Linked DNA regions of Drosophila melanogaster. The protein of the gene in region 1 interacts with the protein of each later gene in a pairwise test. Each region holds a gene or a part of one and is shown on either strand. Other genes may lie near its edges. The genes, in order: Gem4b and CG8366.

Region 1 (6,033 bases):
TAATAGACTCTCTGATGTAGATAGATACTAATATGACTTGTCCACTGCTTGCTATGATTTAACTTTAACTTTATTTATAAACATTTTCATATGATATTTTGTATTTTGCTCAGCTGAAAATTAAATGAAGATATTTTATAAAGTATTGTAATGTATTATTCGATAATTAATTATTTGTATTATTATTGTAATGTTTTATTCGATAATTAATAATTGACATTATAAATATTGCGACTTCTCCAAAGTCAACTGCAGTTTTTTAAACAGTGGTCCTATTTAGCAAATGTATTTAAAATAATGCGATTCGCATGCGGCATTTGAGTTTGAAATCTTTTCGATACTTGTCAAGCATTGGTCGTTAAATTACCTTGTAAAATATATATAGTGTTTTTTAAGACAAGATATTTTTTCTATTTTTTTTTTTATTTAGGTAATTTGAAAATGTTATTAATAACAATTTGCACCAAAATTTTCCTTTCCCTGAATAATGCCATTCAGCTTTTGACAGAATATAAATTAGTTAAATTTATAACATAACGAGTACATGAAATTTAAAAATGTATTAAAATAAATTTTCCTAGTTTTAAGTTACAATTTTGCAACAGGAAGCAAAGCAGTCGAAGTAATACATAAAAATACGAATAAAAATAAGAACATGCAAAATTACAATAATTTTAAGCTTGCCAAAGCATTTATTTAATAGAACACAAATTTGTATTTGATGGTAGTATTACATATTTTATGTAAATATAGTCGGCCTTAAGGACACACAAAGTTGTAAAATAACCTGATATCAAATTATTCTGATGTTCAATCATAGCGTTTTGTATATTATATATATAATACATAATAATACGAAAAAAAAAGAACATGCAAAATTTTATTAATTTTCAGCTGAATAACTTCACTTGCTTGCCAAAGTATTTTTAGTAAGACAAAAAATTTGCATGGTAGTGGTACATTTGTTATGTGCATACAGTCGCCCTTTTAAAGGACATACAAAGTTGTAAAATAATCTGATATCAAATTATTCTGATGTTCAATCCTAGCGTTATGAATATTATATATGTTTTTAGTCATATAGAGATCTGACTGCCTAAGAATTAAAGTGTTGGACAAGCGGCGGAATTTCGATTTGGCTTAAGAAAATTACACTTCTAACAGCATCTCCTTAACACTTGGCCGCCTGCTGTTCCTGGATATTTATGCCGAATCGCACAGCGAAGGCTTTACTAGCTAGCTTCATAATCTCGTTGCGAATGGAGAATGGAGCCTTGGCCACAACGGCCATCAAATGATCCCAATGCTGGCGCTTCGTGATGGTCTTATTGTGTTTGGCGTGGCTCCGGAAGGCGATCAAATATTCTCGAAATAGGAATCTAAAGGCCATGAAAGCGGACTCGCTGTTCACCTTGACCACTGCATCGCTAAGATCGCCCATAACAGCACAATCGGCCCTTTTTTTAAGGAGCTTGTTGAAGAGATCGTTAGCCTCCTGTGCACTGGACTGAGTTAGCAATTTGAGAAAGGAGCGTGTGTCCTTTAAGGTGTCTTCTTTAAGGTAGATGAGCCAAAAGCCCTTGTGCTTTAAACTGTTCACTTGGTTCAAGATCCTCTGGCGGCATTCTGTGAAAGAGCAATAATTAGTAGGCTTTCGTCTTGGACTTACATTTATAAGAGCGCACCAGTGCCTAGGAATGTCAGATGAGACAGACCGTCCTGCCAATACCACACCGCCAGTTCTAAATTATCCACCCGGAAATCTTCAAAGGTGGCCAAGTCCCAGCGTAGGGCATCAATGGTTTTCATGACATGCGAGATCAGCTTCCAGTGTTTCAAACGCCACTCTGGCAAGCTGGCATTCAGATATGTGTAGTGCTTGGCCACCTTGACAGCTGGTGCATCGTCTCCGTTCTCCAATTTCGGGTGCTCCTTTTCGAGTGCATTTAACTCTGCAGTGCCTCGGGTGATTAGATTGCTTTCACCCAGACTAATCTGCTTGAGCAGTTTCAAGATTAACTGCAAGCTGGGCAAGTTCATGGGCTCTATAAACTTGGCCAAACCGTAGGCACACGCGTCTAGGAACCTATTTTGCGCCTGCCTAAGCTCATCCTCTCCGTAGGGACACCGTCCGTCTTTCAAACTAACGCACAGTTGTCGCGCTGACGTGTAGAGACCGTTGAGGATCTGTCGGTGGCCATATAGGTAGAGTGTAAACTGCAAGGCATACGGCTTTTGAAGTAGTTGCTCGTTCACCAAGATGTTATCGGCACAGGCGGAAATATGAAAAGCAGCATGCTTGGGACAAGACTGAGCTATGTGCCAGAATAGCTTCGAGAAGCGAGTATGCGTCACGCCCAAGTGGGAGAAATCAATCCAGGTCTGTCTTGCGTTCTCAAAGCACAGTACTAGAAATTTGGTTATCGGGAAGCGCTTATTATAATCCAATTGATTAAAGAAGCGTATGCGACGCTCCCGATGATCGGGAGCCTTGAAATTAAATCCTTGGGTAACGTTTTGCTCATCGCGCAATAGCAGTACTTCCATCTTGTCCTCGACATTTAATTGCATAAATAAGGGACGCAGTACTAGGCTTAGCAGCTCTTCGTAATCATCGTTGGACGAGGTCTCGTCCTCGTCATCCCCCTGATTTACTTCCGTAACGGATATGCCCTCGTCCTCGACCACCATTTCGGACTCCACCACCTGACCCAGGAAACTGAGTATTATCTGGGCATGTTTCTTGGTGAGCATAATTAAATGATTTGCCATCGTTTCCACGCACTCATCGTTACCAAAGGCTATGAAGCGGCTAAAGAGATTGTCCAGCCCGGCGAGCAACTCCTCATCGGTGGCCATACCGGAATCGAGAAAGACTAAGAGTTCACCCATTCTCATCTCGGCAACGCGCTGCTCCAATGTTTTTGCTGCATCCGCAAAGCTCTGCATCTGCTTGCAAACCGGATGCTCTCCGAGCAACTTATCTGATTGGAGTACTTTAAGCAATTCTGCCGTCTGTCTACAGATTAGCTCCTGGCAGTTATACAAAGCACTTTTCGATTTCATTTCATGCCAATACATATACGTGTCTACGCTAACGAGCTGAAAGATACGCTGCAGAACGTCTAGCAGTATTTGGGCGAAATGCCGCAGATCAGGCATGGGATCGCTTGAGTTGCTGTCACTGATGTCCTCGGTTATTTGGCTGTAGACGGCGAAGCAATTTGGTTTCTCCCGCTTTAATGGATCATTGAGGGTATACAAAAGGACTTCTATAAGGTGATCCATAGCCTTGGCCAGGTAAATCTTTCGAGTGGATGGACGCGGCAGCGTATGGAGGCGCTGTTTAGAGTCCAAGATATGACGATGTTCCATGCAGGCTATCTGGCGCAGCAGTTGCTTATTTTCTGCGGGCAAATTGCAGTTGACAATTGCGCGACCGGCTGCTCTGAGGGCGGCAGAGAGCAGCGGTAGTGTTTCCACGCAATCTGAATTAATGACCGACAGAGCCTCATTGAATGCCTCAAAATACTGGATGGTCAGCCAGCGGGGTCCACAAGCAAGGAATTCCTCCAGCGGCTCCATGAGACAGCAGTTAACGGCTATTGCGATGGTCAAGAACAGTGGGATAGGCGGAAGCTGGTTACACAAATGCATGACATTGGCGCTCCACTGCGATTTGCACAAGAAATAGTCGTGTGCGGTGTTCAGCACCAGGTACACCAGTAGTCCACGCAGTTGATTCATAGCAAAAGGATCCATTGTGTCTGGCGGCTGTATGATTAGATCGTGCTCCTCCAGCAGGTCCGTCACTTGGTCGCAGATCTTCTCAATGTGCTCATCGTTTCCTGAGAACAAACAATGTTCATATTTGGGCACTAACCTCTGGTACTTCACTTACCACTCCAGTAAATCATATCTTTCAGACACTTGGCCTGTTCGTTGTTGTCATGGAATATTTTCTTCAGCTGGACAAACAACTGGCAATTGTCCAGCGGGTGCTTCTCAGCAGTTATCATCGTGCTGCCGAAATTTCGCGTTTCGTCAAAACTCTTCCGAAGGAATTCAATTTTATGTGCGTCTTCTGTCAGATGACTATCGAAAATCGATAGTTTACCGGTGCGTACCGATTATCTTGCGTGCAAGGAATATTTTTTGAAAATGAAAATGTCCCTACAACAAAAAATTTCGCTTTGTAATAGACTCTCTGATGTAGATAGATACTAATATGACTTGTCCACTGCATGCTATGATTTAACTTTAACTTTATTTATAAACATTTTCATATGATATTTTGTATTTTGCTCAGCTGAAAATTAAATGAAGATATTTTATAAAGTATTGTAATGTATTATTCGATAATTAATTATTTGTATTATTATTGTAATGTTTTATTCGATAATTAATAATTGACATTATAAATATTGCGACTTCTCCAAAGTCAACTGCAGTTTTTTAAACAGTGGTCCTATTTAGCAAAAGTATTTAAAATAATGCGATTCGCATGCGGCACTTGAGTTTGAAATCGAGAGATAGATTTGGAATTCGTACATAAGAATACGAATAATAATAAGAACATGCTAAATTACAATAATTTCAAGCTTGCCAAAGTATTTATTTAATAGACAAAAAACTTGATGGTAGTATCCGCGCGTTCTAACGCACTGTCTCTCTTCTTTAGACGCCGTTCCGATTGCGCGGCCGCCTCCTGACGGCTCGACTCGCGCCCGTACTCTCCTCGACTATCCTCGCGTACGTGTGGCTCCTCGCGTGTTGTGACTGACTGCCCCAAGCTGCACTTGCGCCGTTCCTTTATAGGCCGCGGGGATCCCGTTATTTTCCCCTTTGCGCGTCCAACTAATTTGCCGTTAGTTCACAATGTGTGTCCTCTTGTGCGTGTCCAAAGTCCGCACCGTTACTGTTCGACCTCCGTGCCCTTGGCAGGCTCGAGTCCAAGGTCCAGCGCGGTACCGTTAGTTCACAGTCTCTCCGCTTTCCTGGCGTCCAAGGCCGCTCCCCTGCACCCAGATTTGTGGGGACGTAGACTCCTCACACATATTATTCTGATGTTCGATCATAGCGTTTTGTATTTTATATATGTATGTATGTATATAATACATAATTATACGAATAATATGAAGAACATGCAAAATTGCAATAGTTTTCATCTGAATAACTTCACTTGCTTGCCAAAGTATTTTTTAAATAGACAAAAAATTTGCAAGGCAGTAGTACATATGTTATGTGCATACAGTCATCCTTTTAAAGGACATACAAAATTGTAAAATAATCTGATATCTGGATTGAACATCATCCTAGCGTTATGATTATTATATATGTACGTCTTTAGTCGATTAGCGGCGGTGTTTCGATTTGGCTTAAGAAAATTACACTTCTAACAGCATCTCCTTAACACTTGGCCGCCTGCTGTTCCTGGATATTTATGCCGAATCGCACAGCGAAGGCTTTACTAGCTAGCTCCATAATCTCGTTGCGAATGGAGAATGGAGCCTTGGCCACAACGGCCATCAAATGATCCCAATGCTGGCGCTTCGTGATGGTCTTATTGTGTTTGGCGTGGCTCCGGAAGGCGATCAAATATTCTCGAAATAGGAATCTAAAGGCCATGAAAGCGGACTCGCTGTTCACCTTGACCACTGCATCGCTAAGATCGCCCATAACAGCACAATCGGCCCTTTTTTTAAGGAGCTTGTTGAAGAGATCGTTAGCCTCCTGTGCACTGGACTGAGTTAGCAATTTGAGAAAGGAGCGTGTGTCCTTTAAGGTGTCTTCTTTAAGGTAGATGATCCAAAAGTCCTTGTGCTTCAATTTGCTCACTTGGTTTAAGATCCTCTGGCGGAATTCTGTGAAAGAGCAATAATTAGTAGGCTTTCGTCTTGGACTTACATTTATAAGAGCGCACCAGTGCCTAGGAATGTCAGATGAGACAGACCGTCCTGCCAATACCACACCGCCAGTTCTAAATTATCCACCCGGAAATCTTCAAAGGTGGCCAAGTCCCAGCGTAGGGCA
Region 2 (4,153 bases), on another chromosome or scaffold:
CGGCGTTATACAAGACCACTGGCCACTCAGACAGATCTTACAAATCCGATTCGCTGTCAAACGCTAATTCAAGTTCAACCCATATCAAATAACAGGCTTGTTCGCACAACAAACAATTACGCGAGCCAAAAAGGAAAAAAATACACAAAAAAATATTATTAGCCACTGTCGCGCACGAAGTCGACCAAGGAAGCGAGCGAGCAGGCAGGCAGGCAGGCAGGAGGAGTAGGAGGTCAGGGTGGGCAACGTATACCCATTACCAGTTTTCCTATTCGACAGTCTCGAAACTGAATTTTGTGCTTATATGGCCATAAGCTTAACACAATAATAACAACGTCGGTCGAGTCAGCGTCAACGGCATCGACATTTGTATAAAGACAGTCGTGATTCATGATCTGCGACAGCCGCACAACAAGTCCTTATAGTCCAAGCACATCGCGACGTGACCTTGAGCAATTCGACCCACTGATCGCCGAACATTTTCTTTCGCCCGCAGCCGGAGTACTACAAGGACGCGCCACACTTCCGGCGAATTGGAGACGGACCCGAGTACAGGCTGGAGATACCCAGCGCCAAATTGGATTTCACCGGCACCTATTCCGTGATAGCCAGCAATTGCCATGGCGAGGCCAAGGCTGTAATATCGCTACAAATATTCGCCAAAGGTAAGCAGCACAGTGAATGTGTATGTATTTATTGACCTGGGCACTGGGGGTAGATATTCAATAGGCGGGGAAAGACAACGTCCCGCCAGAAGTCTTCAGCCATGCTCAGCAAACTGCTAACGAATTCCGGATCCGCTTGTACCCAAACGTAGTGTAGTGCTCCGTTGCTCTCGAACGTGGGACTTAGCACGCAGTAGAGCGCCTTTTTAACATTCGCCGCAAACATCTGGATTTGTATTTGGGCCATGTACTTGGGTGCAATAGATTCGCGTGCCTCGAGGTACTTCTCGAAGTCCTCGTCAGTCTTTGGTGATTTGATTTCGACAATGTGATCGTCCGTGATGCCATCAGGGGCGGCGCACAGGAAGGGGAAGTTCTCGTGCAGGATCAGACCGCATTCTAAGTAGTTCTTGTTCTCCAGCTTCTCAGTCTGTTTCAATATGAAGCGCTTGTGCTCCTTCTGCTGCACCCGATCCTCGTTATTCTTGTCACGTCCTCTGCAAAACATCATATTGAAGATTTGATCGTCATCATCAGAGGTTTTGCGGCTTATGATCATGTGCATCATGGAGCAACGGATGCGCATATACTGTACCTCCACCCACAATCGGGATTTGTATTTGCTTCGCGTTGCCTCGTACAGACTTTCGATAATACCCGTATGTGCCTGTGCCTCCATGTGTTGCACATAGCTGGACGGATCGACGACATTGTACTCATTTGCTCGGAGCAGCACATGGTGTACGAACATGGGCTCGAACTCATCGGTGGTCTCCACACATTGCCGGTAGAGCGCCGAGTCCCTGCCACAGTCGGCCAGTTCATTCAGAATGGTCACTAGGAAAGCCTCTCCCTCGCTGGCGCTAAGTTCTTTCGAGTTTAGTTCGCTTTCCATTCGCACATCATCCTTGGGAATTATATCACATATTCGAGTAGCAGTTGTGGGCTCCGGTTGCACCAGATTTTCCAACTCGTGGCCCCAAAACTCCACCACAGCCGAGGGATTTCGATCTGTGCTCTTGTTTAGCAGCCAGAAGGTGAAGGCCACGATGTGGGCACAAGTACCTGTAATGTACTAAAGATTAGGAACTAGACATTAGTGGCAAATGGAGTCATTCTCACATGCTGCAGTGCACAGGCTGCATTGACCGTCCATGATCATCTGAGCACTTTCGACGATCTTAAGCGATACATTGGCGTGAGTTACCGTGTTGGCGAAGTCGGTGGCAGAAAACACGAGTCCCTTGAGTTCGCACACGTCGCCATGTCTGCGCACCTGGACGTAATCCGTGAGGAGATCACATCTATTCGTTGGTCTGTTGGCAAAAATTCAATTTTTAATAGAATACACAGTAGGTATATGTGCGAACGGGATGGCACTCACATTTGTTTTGATTTCTCAGATGCGCCGGATAGACAAAAATTGTACACCATTCCGCTGTTCAAAGCGGGTATATTGTGTATGTCTGCTTTGCGGAAGCCGGGTTCCAGGTCCATGGGCACAATTATCATGCCCCTCATTTTGTTTTAACCAAAATTTGAGTACAAGAAGTAGAAAATTAGATGGTGTGCTAAAAATAAACATTGGGCCACAGCTGCTATCGATTATCGATATATTCGCACTCTTGCAAGAATCTGACAAAAATAGCCAAGACACTAATCACCACTGCTTGGCAAGCAGTTTAATGGGCGCCAATTTCGAAATGCAATATTTTTTTACTAAGTCAAAGTGCTAATGCATAATATCTTTTTTTCAATAGATATACTCAACAAAAGCCGCATGGATAAAGTGCACACGAGACATGGGTAAGTTCAAGCTTATTATCAAGATATGTTGTCATTAACAAGCTTTAACAATTAATCAGCAACATCGAGACCCTTCCCCGATTCGTTCGCAACTTGCGAAACCTCCGCTGTTGCGATGGGGATGCGATATCGCTGGAATGTCACGTTGAGGCCGATCCGGAGCCGTTCATCATCTGGGAAAAGGATGGGCATGTTATGCCCAGCGATCGGGACTACGTGATGTCTTTCGATGGAACCAAGGCAACGCTGAGCATACCGCGCGTATATCCAGAGGATGAGGGCGAGTACACGTGCGTGGCCAAGAACTCGGTGGGTCGCAGTCTCTCTTCCGCCTGCATTATAGTGGATGTGCCCGAGGAGAAGGAGAATATGCTCAGCCGCCAGCTAGCGCGTCCCAGTGGCCTGCTCTCCGCCCACTCCACGCCCCGTTCTACGCCGAGATCCACGCCCGCCAGAAGTTTCTCTCCCCTGCGCCTATCGTACCGCACCAGCAGCATCGATCTGTCCGGCGTGGCGGAACGCAGGCGTAGTGATGCCCGGAATGCCATCACGGCGCCAAAGTTTCTCGCCATTCCCTACAATCGCGTCGTCGAGGAGGGCGACAGTGTGCGCTTCCAGTGCGCCATCTCCGGACATCCCACACCGTGGGCGACATGGGACAAGGATGGCCTGATTGTGACACCCACGCCGCGCATTGCCGTCAAGGAAATCGATGACCTTCGCATCATAGAGATCGATGAGGTGACCTTCGACGATGCCGGCCTGTATCGCGTCACGCTGGAGAACGATTTCGGTCGTATTGAGGCCACCGCTCGCTTGGACGTCATCCGCAGCTCCCGCTACTCCAAGTCGCCTTCGGTGCGCAGCGTGCGTGCCTCCTCCTCCCGCCGTAATGCCCACTTGTACAGGCGCATCATGGGTCCATCCACAGGTGGGTGCTGCTCCTTGCCCAATTTACAGCTTAACTATTTCAATTGATACCATGCCACCCACAGCAATTGGCGGACGCATGGCTCTGGCAAGTGGCTATCGGGGTTCGTCGGTGCCCTCGGTGAGATTCTATCACAACGACGTGGAGCTCGAGGCCTCGGAACGAGTTCACATCCTGCTGCAGGACTCGATGGCCCTGCTCATAGTGGACAATGTGACGCGCGAGGATGAAGGCCAGTACACCTGCATCATAAGCGGCGACCACGATCCCCTCATCACTTCCACCACCGTCACCTTCCACGACTCGAATACGGAGATTCGCAGGCGTCGTGCTGTCATCACGGAACGACTGCCCGAGATTACTAAATCGCTGGAGGGCGAGGTGATCGATCTGTGCTGCTCCATCGAATGCGATGAACCCTACAGCTACGTTTGGTTGCGAAATGGCGAGATTCTGCCAGACAGCGATGAGTTCAAGTGAGTATAAATCTTTAGTTCATTGAAATATATTGAGTTGTAATAACTTGAATACATAATTAGTTATAAAAACATTGTTAAATTGCTCAGTTTTTTATAAGCACCCAATTTCCAGCGATTAGCTTGGATTGAATAATAAAAGCGAATGGTTTCCCTTTGTTTCGAACTATCCACATACTTATGGCACTTTCATTGCTCACTGCAGTTACATTGATCACGGCAATGGACGCCTCTGCCTGCGAATCAACGACGCCTTCGACATTGACTCCGGCATC

The links.
Region 2: the proteins of Gem4b (region 1) and CG8366 interact in a two-hybrid assay, tested with the Drosophila melanogaster proteins (one large-scale study listed by BioGRID).

What each region holds. Positions count from the first base shown.
Region 1 is NC_004354.4:3,939,046-3,945,078, reverse strand, and holds Gem4b (gemin 4b), read right to left. Parts: upstream 4,233-6,033; 5' UTR 4,020-4,232; coding exon 3,902-4,019; intron 3,849-3,901; coding exon 1,686-3,848; intron 1,627-1,685; coding exon 1,172-1,626; 3' UTR 814-1,171; downstream 1-813. Other genes in the region: Glos (gaulos), read right to left, coding at 5,410-5,864, 5,924-6,033. UniProt on the Drosophila melanogaster protein: Component of the survival motor neuron (SMN) complex that catalyzes the assembly of small nuclear ribonucleoproteins (snRNPs), the building blocks of the spliceosome, and thereby plays an important role in the splicing of cellular pre-mRNAs.
Region 2 is NT_033778.4:15,953,151-15,957,303, reverse strand, and holds CG8366 (uncharacterized protein), read right to left. Parts: upstream 2,265-4,153; 5' UTR 2,187-2,264; coding exon 2,050-2,186; intron 1,982-2,049; coding exon 1,788-1,981; intron 1,731-1,787; coding exon 694-1,730; 3' UTR 668-693; downstream 1-667. Other genes in the region: Strn-Mlck (Stretchin-Mlck), read left to right, coding at 497-665, 2,426-2,471, 2,531-3,402, 3,467-3,878, 4,084-4,153.